Linked DNA regions of Callithrix jacchus. The protein of the gene in region 1 interacts with the protein of each later gene in a pairwise test. Links are inferred from orthologs where the notes say so. Each region holds a gene or a part of one and is shown in the gene's direction. Other genes may lie near its edges.

The links.
Region 2: the proteins of PNMA1 (region 1) and SPATC1L interact in binary tests that used the Homo sapiens proteins (3 or more experiments, as listed by UniProt). The two-hybrid records come from large-scale screens. The link is inferred for Callithrix jacchus from reciprocal best matches to the Homo sapiens genes PNMA1 and SPATC1L.
Region 3: the proteins of PNMA1 (region 1) and FMNL2 interact in a two-hybrid assay, tested with the Homo sapiens proteins (2 studies listed by BioGRID). The two-hybrid records come from large-scale screens. The link is inferred for Callithrix jacchus from reciprocal best matches to the Homo sapiens genes PNMA1 and FMNL2.

What each region holds. Positions count from the first base shown.
Region 1 is NC_133509.1:108,629,446-108,633,536, reverse strand, and holds PNMA1 (paraneoplastic antigen Ma1), read left to right. Parts: upstream 1-1,289; 5' UTR 1,290-2,008; coding exon 2,009-3,070; 3' UTR 3,071-3,840; downstream 3,841-4,091.
Region 2 is NC_133522.1:51,766,234-51,770,549, reverse strand, and holds the start of SPATC1L (speriolin-like protein), read left to right. Parts: upstream 1-1,489; 5' UTR 1,490-1,579; coding exon 1,580-1,772; intron 1,773-4,316.
Region 3 is NC_133507.1:77,748,990-77,753,232, reverse strand, and holds the start of FMNL2 (formin-like protein 2), read left to right. Parts: upstream 1-1,416; 5' UTR 1,417-1,845; coding exon 1,846-1,962; intron 1,963-4,243. UniProt on the Homo sapiens protein: Plays a role in the regulation of cell morphology and cytoskeletal organization. Required in the cortical actin filament dynamics.

The sequences.
Region 1 (4,091 bases):
TATATATTATCAGACTGGCAAGCCTAACTCCATAGGTTTACAGGAAGTAGGCATATTTTTATAAAACAATTGTGTCCTCCCCACATTTTGCTATGTTAATATTTGCCTCTAACAATTTGCAGCTGTTTCACTTTTTCCTCATTTGTCTCTAAGTTGAAGGCCTTGTTGGAAGGGACAGCACAGGAACAGCCTTGACAGTCTGTAATTATTGTACAAATATTTTAATAGCATATAAATAAGTATATTCCTTTTATTTTGAAACAAATGATCAGACACTGCCTTTTTTGTGTTTGCTGCCTGTGGCACCCTTTTTTAAAAAGACTGTTACATATTAAAATAGTGTACATATATATATAAATATTACCTCTTTTGCTGTACAGTTGTGATAGAGACTGAAGATTTTATTTTTTGTGTGCTTTTTATAAGAAAAAAATTAATACACTAAAGAATCTTGCTGATGTGATTGTAATGTACCTATGTAACTTATTTACTTTTGAATGTTCTTCTGTATCTTTAAACCTTTTATTAAATAAGGTTTTAAAAATTCAGAGTTGCATGCTGTGTTCTCTGGGATTTTCACCATCTGGGATTGATGTAAGTGGGTCTTGTCTTGCTTGCACAAAGATTACTCAACATTTTCGAACCATACGGATTCTCTTTTAGCAGCCTATTGTCAATGATGCCAGCCAGGAAAAGGGAAATAACATATTAATGTTTACCTGGCTAAAAGATGACTGAGTAGACATAGACAAACATCTTTTTTACAAAATTTTAGACAAGAAAAAGGCAACTCCGTATCTTACAAAAATATACGTAAATGGCACACGCCGACATTTTGGCTGCGTTGGGATGAAATATGCAGGGTGCAGAGTGTGGTTGGGGGAACAGGGAAGCTACGGTTCTGAGGATATTCTCACGTGCAGGGTGGACTGGCTGAGCAATCTGAGATGAGTCCACCATGAGGGATGCATTTCCAACAATATCATCTTAAGTCCACTCCAGGATTGGGTTATTTTTAAAATACGGTGCTTAGCAGTCTTTGTTCTCTGTTTAAAAAAAAAAAAAGAAGAAGAAAATTACGCCATCAGAGAAACAGGTGCCCGGGGCACCATGGTAACCGCTGGACTCCGCCCCACCCCCACTCCCCCGCCCGCGGTGGGCCGCCAGAGCAGACGAGTCTCGTGCAGGCTGAGAAGCCGTTGCCATGGCGACACCCGAGCGGCTCCGCCGCGGGGGCGTGACGGAGTGGGGCAGACGCCGCTCACGGGCTGGCCCCACCCTTCACTGCTGCAGTAACATCGCCGCAGGTTGCGGGTAGGACACTACGTCTGGGTAGCAGCGCAGTGCAGATCGTTGCGGCCGCCGCTGCTCATCCTCTCTTCTGCTGTCTCCAGCCCAGCTTCGCCAGCTCTCCTGCTCCTCTGTTGCCTTCGTTTCTGGTCCTCGGCGGTCCTCGCCACCCTCCCGGAAGAGTCCCTGCTCCTGCCAAGAAGCCGCTCTCAGCTGGCCCGCAGCCGCCGCGACTTCGGCACAGTCTGCCTGTGCCGGGTCTCCCAAACGACCTCTCCTCGCCCTCGGAAGACCGGGCTGCGACCGCGAACGCCAGATCCTCTCTGGGAGCCGCCGCGAGCGCCCGACGACCACACCTCGGCGGTTCTCGGCCCATCGCGCCTGCCTTCGCCGCCCGCCTTCGCTCCTTGCCCGCTCCACGACGACGCGACGCCTCGGCTGCTGGCAGCGGACCCGGACCCGGACCCGGACCCAGACGCAAGATGGCGACGGCTGCGTGACTGCCTCAGCGTTTCCGAGCTCGTCTCCAAGTGCGTCCACTGACTGACTGTGGGGGCAGGGAAGGGCGAGGTCAGGACTCTGTGTCTTTGTTAATCGTGACTGCGTGAAACTCGCCTCCCTTGGGCCTACTTGGGGGGAGTGTCTGGCGTTGTTCTAAGGCCAGGAGCAAGGTGAGCCACTGTCTGTTGGTAGAATTAGCGTCTTGATAGTTGACAAAATGGCGATGATACTGTTGGAAGACTGGTGCAGGGGAATGGATGTGAACTCCCAGAGAGCTCTGTTGGTCTGGGGCATCCCAGTGAACTGTGATGAGGCTGAAATCGAAGAGACCCTCCAGGCTGCGATGCCCCAGGTGCCCTACCGAGTGCTTGGGAGAATGTTCTGGAGGGAAGAAAATGCGAAAGCAGCCTTATTAGAGCTCACTGGCGCTGTCGATTACGCCACGATCCCCAGGGAGTTGCCGGGCAAAGGAGGAGTCTGGAAAGTGTTCTTTAAGCCCCCGACTTCCGATGCTGAATTTTTAGAAAGATTGCACCTCTTCCTAGCTAGAGAGGGCTGGACCGTGCAGGATGTTGCCCGTGTCCTTGGGTTTCAGAACCCTACTCCGACCCCGGTCCCAGAGATGCCAGCAGAGATGCTAAACTATATTTTGGATAATGTTATTCAACCTCTTGTTGAGTCCATATGGTACAAGAAGCTGACACTTTTCTCGGGGAGGGACATCCCAGGGCCTGGAGAGGAAACCTTTGATCCTTGGCTGGAGCACACTAATGAGGTCCTAGAGGAGTGGCAGGTGCCAGATGCAGAAAAGAGGCGGCGGTTGATGGAGAGTCTTAGAGGCCCCGCCGCTGATGTCATTCGCATCCTCAAGACCAACAACCCCGCGATAACTACTGCCGAATGCCTGCAGGCGCTTGAGCAGGTGTTTGGGAGCGTTGAGAGCTCTAGGGATGCCCAGGTCAAATTTCTGAACACTTACCAGAACCCGGGAGAAAAGTTGTCTGCTTATGTCATTCGTTTGGAGCCTCTGCTACAGAAGGTGGTGGAGAAGGGGGCCATTGATAAAGATAATGTGAACCAGGCTCGTCTAGAGCAGGTCATTGCCGGGGCCAACCAAAGCGGGGCCATCCGAAGGCAGCTGTGGCTTAACGGGGCTGGGGAAGGGCCGGCCCCAAACCTCTTTGAGTTGCTGGTGCAGATCCGTGAGGAGGAAGCCAAGGAAGAGGAGGAGGAGGCTGAGGCCACCCTTCTGCAGTTAGGCCTGGAAGGGCACTTCTGAGTCCCAGGAAAGGCAGCTTTAGTGCAGACCCAGATCACAGCTACTGTCCTTGTCCCTGTGGGGTCTTACAGATGTGTCTGAGTAGTAAAGGCTTAGTCCTGTTACATTTGTTTTTGGAGGGCAGGATTTGTCAGGCCTGAGTATTCATGTAACATTCTAAAATTGTGCACGCAAGCACTGTGAGCTGCTAGCGGATCTTGCTGGCTACAATGCCGTTTACCTGGTTGGACACAGAGCTTAGTGCACGCGGTCATCATGGCCATCATAATCAGTTGTGAAAAACGTGTGAACCTGTGACACTTCTATTCCACGTTGAATGTGAAATTGCATGTTCAGATGTTTACTGCGGGGCCTGGCTCACAGGAAGTGTTCAGTAAAAGTGTGAACTGTTAGATTACTGATATTGTGGATAGTTTTCTGTCTACCATAACTTGTTCCAGATTTTATTAATGGAAGGGAATGTGCATTTATTATGACTCAACCTTACAATGTAAACGTACTATTTCTCATCTTTAAACATGTGGATCAGTTTAATTGAAAAGTATTCTGATACTGCAAAATGGGATGTTAAAAACTGCAGTTACGGAGCTGTGTAACCCATTTTTCACTGCATAAGATACAGATGTAAATTGCATGGAGAGGTTGATGTGCACCTGTTAGAGTAATTCACTTCCCCAATTTCAAATCTTTGTCAGAAAATAGTTCTTGTTCATACTAATTCTGAGTGTTCTAAATTTGAAGTTACATACAGAAATAAAAATGTTTTTCGATTTCTGTTGTCTTCTCCTTTTGCTGGCATGTACAAACATCTTTAGCCTAAGTAAACTCTGTCCATTTTTCTTATGAAGACTGTCATTAACTCAAACCATATGTTTTACTTACCACAGACACTCAGCATGTCTTCACCCACTACCCATCATTCACAGAGCTTTCCCCTCCATTCCCACCAGCATCAGGTGCACACTCACCCACCTCCTACGCTCTACACATTCACTGCCATCTCCCACTCAGTACTCCCACC
Region 2 (4,316 bases), on another chromosome or scaffold:
GCTGGGACGCACCTGTGACTTAACCCTCACTTCTCTCCCTGCTCTGCATCCTGGATGCCCTGCACCCCTCTTCAGTGGGCTGTATCAGGCCCCCGTTGTCTTCATCTGGGGCGTGAGCCCTGTGCGGCAGCACCAGGCTGGCTGGGTTGTGTAAGGAATGCTGGGGTGTAGAAACCCTTTCTCCACAAAGTCTAACTTGAGACCTTCTCTCCTGGAATCAACATTCCCCTAATCAGGCCGAGGGCTGAATGAAGACTGTTTTCCTGGGGCGTCTGCACCTGAGTGCCCTTGAACATCACATAGGACGAAATCCAGGTGACCTTGGATTTGGCAATGACTCTTTAGATATGACACCAAAGGCATGATCCATGCAGGAAAACGCTGATTAAAATAATAAAATTCTTCATTAAAATAATAAATTTCTAGGTCATGCCTATAATCCCAGCACTTTGGGGGCCCCAGGTGGGAGGCTCTCCGTCACAGGGCCGGAGGTCACAGGGCGCCTGTCACAGGGCTGGAGTGTGGTTGGCCCACTGGTTTGTGTTTTACGTCCCTTCCCACAAGGACAAGATGACCCGTCTGTTGTGTTCTGGCTGCTGATAAAACAAGACCCTCAGAGCCAAGAAACAACACTGAGGTGATTGATTTTCCCAAGTAATTGGAGACGGGGGGAGTCAGGGTGGGTTTCAAGATGATCACACGGACCGAGGACAGATGCCTGCCCTAGTAGGACCCCATGAGCCACAGCCCTGTGTGACAGCCTGAGGGGCCACGCCTTGGTCAGGGGTGTCTGCAGTGAGGTGCAGGCAGGAGCAGTGCAGTTGGGAACAACTGGTGTCTTAGACACGGGTGCTCGTGGTCCGAGGGGTGGACACACATTGCTGAACCCTTCTCATGGGGGAGTGACGTCAGGTGGTCTCCGGCCCAGCCTTCAGGGCCTCCCAGTGCTCCTCAGGGTGTGGGGACCATCGTGGGGCTGCCCCAGGCTGGTGTCCTCCCCCTACACTCACCAGCCCCTCCATCCTCAAGTGTGGGTCCCAAGGTCAGGCCCTGATGAACACCCGCACACCACATGCTACCCTGAGTGCCAGGGCCTACGGAAAGCTACACTGGGTCCCTGTGTCGTGGGCAGGGCCTGTGGGAAGGGCAGCCCCACGTGCCACTCAAGGAAAGGCAGTGTCCCCACCTGGCCTGAGGACTCCACATGGGGTGAATGCCTGACCCGGGCTGGGCCTCCCTTTGCGGAGTGGCTCAGATCCCCCTGGAGTGTGGTCCCCACATCCCATACCTGCCTAAGGTCCTTGGCATTCTCGGGCTCTGTCGTGGTGCAGGAGTGGCTGCCTGTGCACCCCACGGGCCTCCAGCTTCACTGCCTCAACATGGCCACGAGCTGTCGCCAGGGCGGGCAGGGGTGCCTGGCACCTGGTCGCTAGGGCAGCGACATCACAAGGTTCGGAAGGTGGCAGCGACCACGGAACTCTGTGGCCTTGGGCTGTTTCTGTGGTGCCTGTGGGCTCTGGGCTTCCACCTCTGTGGGGCTGCAGGAGCTGTGAGGGACGACGAGGGACGTGCGCCGGCCATGGCTGAGGGCGGTGAGCTGATGAGCCAGCTCCTGAGTGAGAACGCAGACCTGAAGAAGCAGGTGCGCCTCCTGAAGGAGAACCAGATGCTGCGGCGGCTGCTTAGCCAGAGCTGCCAGGACGGTGGTGGCCGAGACCTGCTCCCCCAGAGGGCGCCCGCCTACCCCGAAGCCAGCTCCCCTGGGAGCGGAGGTGAGGCGCCACCCGGCTCAGTTGGCCCAAGGGTCTGGCCTGGTGGATGGCGGGTCAGGGGACGCCTGCTCCTCAGGTGCCCCTGGTACAGGAGGTCACGGGTACCTTCCACACCCTCGGATCTGAGTAAGCAGCACCAGGTGGTTCATTCCGCTGTTGTCCTCGGGCGAGGCCCCTCCCCTACAGGCCCGCTGCGGTGAAGTAGGGGTGGTCAGCCACTTGCAGGTGGACTGGTCAGCTGCAGTCACGGAAGTGCCGCCGTAGGGGCAGAGCGGGAGGCGTGCAGCCTCGTGGGCCTCCAGAGACCCAGGCAGCTCTTCCAGGCTGGGCCCGGCTGGCACTTCGCTCGGCTGTGTGTGTCTCTTCTCCTGGGGCGGAGGGGGCTGTCAGACGCACCAGCCACACGAGTCCCATCCACTCACGTCCTCAGCCAGAGTCAGGGCAGCCCCAGGGTGGGAAGGGCCTACCTCGGGGAGGTCAGGGGAGTGGGTGGGGATGATGGGCACCTGTCGTCCCTGGGGCGGTGGGAGTGTCGGGTCACGATCCACCCACCACATAGTATTGACTCCAACCTTCTGTGGCTTTTCACTGAAAAAAAAAAAAAAAGGGGGGGTTTGATCACTTTCTGCAAAGTAGTAGGTTTTATTCTAAAAATTTTGGGAAAAACATTCCCTGTTTCTGCATGTGACTTGGGGTATGGCTGACAGGTGTGCCCTTGACTTTGTTAGGATGGTGGGCAGTGGACAGAGTCCCTGACCCAGCACTGCCTGGGACTTCCACGGCCAACCTCAGCTTCCCACCAGGCCGGGTGGGGACAGGATGTGGTCAGCCTGCCTGGTCCTGGACGATGGAGCAGGCAGCCTCACCAGTGCCTGTGAACGCTGCTGTCGGGAAGCACGAGCCATGCCTGGGAGGCTGGTTCTGCCACCCACCGAGGGGACACTCTGGGACCTGCGCAGGGGTGGTCACTTCCTGAGTCCTCAGACGCCAGCCACCACCCTCATCTGTGCGCCTCTGAGCGGGCACAGCCTGCAGGAGGCACTCTCCGCTGCTTGGAGCTACTGTGTACAAAGCCTGAGAGCGAGCACGTCGGGAAGTAAAGAGGGGAATCCTTGGCAGCATCTCCATAGCTTCGGTGCCTGCAGGGGCTCCTCACGGGGAGCTGGAAGGAGAGCACCTCGCCAGGAGGTATGGGGACAGTGTGGCCAGAGGATCCAGCGCCGGGGGTCCCTGCTGTGGGAGGCCCCAGGTCCTGCATCCCCGTTGGTGGCCACTGAGCTCCCCCACACTCACCACAGGCCATTTGCTGGGTGGACCTGTGCTTACGGCGGCACTGCAAATGGTCCCGTTCACAGCACTTGTTAGCCCCGGGCACTGTGGCTGCAAAAGAGCCCCTAGTCTGCTTGGTGCCTGAGGAACTGCCACAGGCTGCATGCCCGGCCTTGTTGCCATCGTCCTCCTCAAGAAGGAATTGCACTGGGCTGGACACAGTGCTGGGGCCTCCCTTGGCGGGAGAGCGGCAGACCCTCCACCCTTGCTCAGGCTGTGCAGTCCCTGGAGGGACCTTTGTCAGGGGCTGAGTCAGGTGGGGTCTCCATGGCCACGGTGAGTGCACCTGCCCTTGGGTCACCTTGGCAAGCCCAGGTCTGGCTGGACACAGGTCTTGGGAGGATCCCCAGCCCGAGGCCATCAGGCCTTCCACAGAGGGCCTTGGAGCCCCCATGCAGGGTGTGGGGCAGGCTCAGTGTGGCCCGGGCTGCCAGTGGGGAGGGGCCTGGACAAGGCCGCCTTCTAAACTGTGCCACCTCAGTGGCAGCGCGTGGTGCACCCTTGATGCTCTGGGCCTCAGCATGTGCTTGGGAATGTGCCTGGGTCTGCGGGGCGCTGCATTCAGCCCCAGCCCTCAGCAGGACGGGGGTTTGGAAAACCACCACTGAGCTCCTGCCAAAAAGGGGTTTAACACCGCGGAGGACATGTTTCCGGCTCAGGCCACGCCTCTGGACCCACTCCCTAAAGGCAGGCACAATCAACGTTTTCTTGGGTTTTCTCTGGAAGTTTGATGGAGGTCCGTGTGTCTCTCTCTCTCTTTTTGGTCCACCCAAACAGGACTGCGCTGTTCCCCAGCCTGACTTTCGCCCTGAAACTGTCCATTTCTCTATCATTCCCCGTCAGTCCTCAGCTGCAGACATCCCGGCACACAGAGAAGCTGGTTCCTTCTCTGGGGCCCCTGGCAGGCAGCACCATTCCCGGTCTGTGACCGCGGATGCTGTGGCCGGGAGCAGCCTGCACAGGCACCCTGTCGCCTTGGGTAGGGGATCCCACACGTGGGTCCTCGGGTCAAAGGCTGTGTGCATTTGAGATGTCGGAAGAGACACTCAAACACTCTCCTGAAAGGCCCCTACACCCCACTAATGGAGGAGGCGGGCGCCATGCTGGCATTGTTCCAGCACACACACACCCCCCCCCGCCTGGTGCTCTCCACACCCCCCCCACCTGGTGCTCTCCACACCCCTCCCCGCCTGGTGCTCTCCACCCGCCCCCCGC
Region 3 (4,243 bases), on another chromosome or scaffold:
TATCTTGGAGTTAGGCCGGGAGCCGAGGCCGGGCACGGTGGCTCACGCCTGTAATCCTAGCACTTTGGGAGGCCGAGGTGGGTGGATCTCCTGAGGTCAGGAGTTCAAGACAAGCCTGGCCATCATGCTGAAACCTCATCTTTAAAAAAAAAAAAAGTATCTTGGAGTTTATAAAGATGAATGAAATGTTCTTGATGATTGAATCTTGGTTTACTACCTTGTCCAGAAGCACTTGCTATTTACTAAAAGGATGATAACAACCTTACCTGCATATCAAAATCAGCTGGGAGCTTGTTAAAACTACACCTGCCTAGGCTCTGGCTCTCAGCTTAGGGAGATTCCGATAATAGACAGAACCCAAGGTGTGTGTAGTTTTAGCAAAAAGTTTCCCAAGTGAATCTGATACACCTCTAGGATTAAGAAACACTGCTTTAAACTAAGAAAGTACTAACAGCAGAAGTTCAGCCACAAGTCATATGGATGTATACCCTTAATATTCACATAAGCAGTTGGCTAAAGTCTCTTATAAGGCTATTTCTATTTCTGAGGTTTCAGAAATGAGTAGTTATAGTCTGAAACACACCCCAGAGGACAGAGTCAGGTCCAATCTTTTCTGTAAGACACCTTGCTCAAGATTGCTGTGAAGAAATAAGAGCGCTGCAGTCAAAAAATCATCCCAAAGTCTCCCAAAACACTCCATCATTAAATCCATCTCACATGAAATATGGGTGTGTAAATTTTCTCCTTCACTAGATTGGCATGTATTCTAGCACAGGGGCAAGTCTCTTTTTTTCTCCCACCAAGGAACACAATAACCCATACATAATAAGGTGTTTGACAGTTTTTTGGTTTTTTTTTTTTGTAAATTGAATTGAATCCTTATCCAGCTCCTAGGGTCTGGCTGTATATATCCATAAATTATACATTTGTTTATAAAATATTTCAGTCACACCAAATAACATATATATGGAAGAAAGAACGATAAGCAAGCACCCATGGACCCACCCGCCCTCCCCCGTGTATGAAACCACTTTGCCAATGCTTTCGAAGTTCCTTATTGAACTAGATCTTTTAAAAACAGCAATGATTTTCTGGATTTTAATCAGAAGGCATGCATCCATTCATTCATTGATTGGATTCCAAGTGTCAACATGGCATATACGATGTAGGTATTCTGCTGTTGGGGTGAGGGGAGGTCAAAAGTGACATAAGCCATCTCCAGAAACATACGGATCCCCTTGCTGCAAATGGTCCCAATCTGGCCTGGCGCTCCAGAGCGGGCGTGGTTTCTGCGCGCGGACACTTTGGGTAGAAACTACGCGTCCCGGCAGTCCGCGGGGCGAGTGGGCGGAGCCGGGCTGGGGGCGGGGGCCAGGCGAGAGGGGGCATTGTGTAGGGGAGCGCGGAGCTGCATTTGTCTGTTCGAGGTGCTAGCCTAGCAGTCGCAGCCTTTGCCGGCCAGGGCTGGAAGTGTCAGCGGCGCCCGGGGGCCCGGCTGAAGGCCGAGTAGGAGGGACCACGCGCCGGGGGCCGCGATCTCTGGCAGGGGGCGGTGTACCAGCGGAGCACCATGCACATAGGCGCCCAGCGCCCCGACTACCTCTCCGGAGCAAAAGAGGCCGGGGCCGAGCTGGGGCGGCGGGGAGCATGAGGGTGGCCGGGGGACGGCTCGGCTTGGAGCGCTGCTAGGGAGCGGTGCGCACCGCACACCCGCCGGAGCGCGGCGGAGGGCGGGAGCTGGGCAGGTCGCGCCTGCGGACGGGAGGCGATCGCCGGGAGCTGTTCTGATTTCCTACGCGCACGCAAGGGGCCCGGAGCAGCCCCCGGCCCCGGCGCGCCGCCGACATGGGTAACGCCGGGAGCATGGATTCGCAGCAGACCGATTTCAGGGCGCACAACGTGCCTTTGAAGCTGCCGATGCCTGAGCCAGGTGAACTGGAGGAACGATTTGCCATCGTGCTGGTGAGTGCGCCGCGGCGGTCGGGCCCCCGGCCGGGCGGCGCAGCTGACCCCCGCCCCTCCCCTTCGTCCCTCGCGGGGAGCGAGCCTCCTTTCCCGAGGGGGAGGCTCGCACCTTCCCCACTGTGGCGCCCCCACGCCCCCGGCACTTCTCTCCAGCTCCGCGCGCTCTGCCTCTCCGGGTCCTGGGATGGGATGGGAATGAGGGCTGGCGGGCTGCCCCGCCAGCCCCGAACCCATTGTCTGGCTGGAGAGGCACTTCTCGGCGCGTGTGCCCGGGAGGTGCGGCGTAGGCGTGAAGGGAAGGTGGCGAGGGCTGGGGAGGAGGGGGCGGCGAGTCGCTTAGGCTTTTTGTGTTTTTAAAAAACAAAAAACCCCGAGCCCCTGCGGACCATCCCTTGAGCGGCCAGCCGGGGACTTGCTAGGTTCTCGGCAGATGGGGCGCGTGTGGCCGGCCGCGGGCGCCGTGCCGGGTAGTGAGCGGAGGCGAACTTGGAGGGCGGACGTCGCGGCTTGGCAGAGGGGAGCTTCCCCGAAAGGGAAAGGGGAGCTCCGCAGCTGTGCGGCGCCCCGGCCCTCGGCGAGGAGGAGGGGCGTCTGAAACCCAGCCCGGGGAGAACCTCAGCGTGTTCCCTCTAGACTTAAATCTTAAACCACAAAAATGTGCAGTTTTGCGGGAACGTGTTGCGAGCTGTCCTGACTGCACGGGCGACCCTTCCCCTCCCCTTGCACACTCAGCCAGGTCCCCCGCTCCCTCCTGCATTCCGCTTCTCCCAGCCTTCCACCTCCTCTAATCCAGAACTCTGAAAACTCCCCTTTCTCCTTTTCCTGCTGGGACTGTCTGGGCCCCTCCCAGCCGGGGCTTATGCTGAGCTGCAGAGGGTGTGGCGGCTTGCCCCGGCCGGGATCTGGACTGCAGTTGGTCCCCAGACTTCCAGTTTTAGTGTCCCAGCCTCTTCTAAGGGATGTTGGGAGGGACACGGGCGAGATTGGACGCATTCCTGCTCCTTACACTTGGACACTTCTCTTTTCCTAGTTGGTTGCCTCTAAACTCCACAAGACTAGGCAGCAAGGGAAACTCGAGATTCACGCAGCCAACGATTGTGCCTGCCTGCGGGTTTTTTTGTTTTTGGCATGAAAACTACAACTTTGGCAAAGGACTCGAGTTCTAGATCAAAAATCGGTTTTCTGAGGTTTGATCACCGACAGGAGTTTAAATTGCCTGCCTTCAGGCCTTGAAAATGGATGGTTTGGTATGGGAAATGATGTTCTGGATGGCAGGTGAGCTGTGTGCTCTTCCGGAGACCTGAACACTCTCTCCCACCACCTGGAAACTCTGGTGTGGGCGTCGGGGAGATAGATGAGGTTGCTTGTGTTGCTTTGCATTTCCTGTGATCTCCCGCAGCTGCTCCCACCGTTGTGCAAGATGGGACACTCAGATGAAACGGCCTAGGCATAATTCTCAAGGCAGCCTGCGTGCATACTTGACCTGTTTTTCCAGAGACAAACGTTTTTCTTCAAAACCCTCTTCCTACTATACATGTGGTTCTTACCTCCTGGCTCTGGCTTTTTTGTTTTTCCATCCATGCTATGGTGCTGTGTGTGTGTGTGTGTGTGTGTCTGAATACTTGTGGTGGAGGAGCCGGGGACACAGGGAAACCAGCGCAGCAGCCATAATAATAACAATAATGCAATTAAGTTCTGCTTGACTAGGACAGCATTTTTTTTTTGCTTGAGCTTTCAGTTACCCTGCTGATTAATAACACATGGTGTGAATTAATCTTTAGAAAAATAATGTCCCATCATTAGCGCGGTGGATTTGTGTTCCTGTTAAGGCTAGCAGTTGCAAATATAGTATGTAGACATTTATGATTTTACATCCCAAGCTTCTTGGGGCAGTTGTTGTGGCTACCTCTGCTCTACTGTGTGTCACAGAGTTACTGGGTGCAACTCCTTTTAAAATTGTTTACGATATTCCAAGCCTCCCAAACAAGAAACAAAATGCCAGGCTGACCTTTTTTTTTTTGGGTAGAGACAAAGCTTTTGGGACCACGTCAGCTTAAGAACCCTCTTCCTAGGGATGCACTTGGACCATTGATGTGTTCCTTCTCCCAAGTCAGCTCCACTTGCTCTTTGACAAACTGAGAGGAGTTGAAAGGAAGCCTTCCAGATCATCTCCATAGGCTGATGGAAATACACAGTGTTAGTGATTTCTCTTACCGTTTTTTTCTGGAGTTGTACGTGCAGCACTCTCAACTTTGCTTTTCTTCATGAGTTGCTTAAG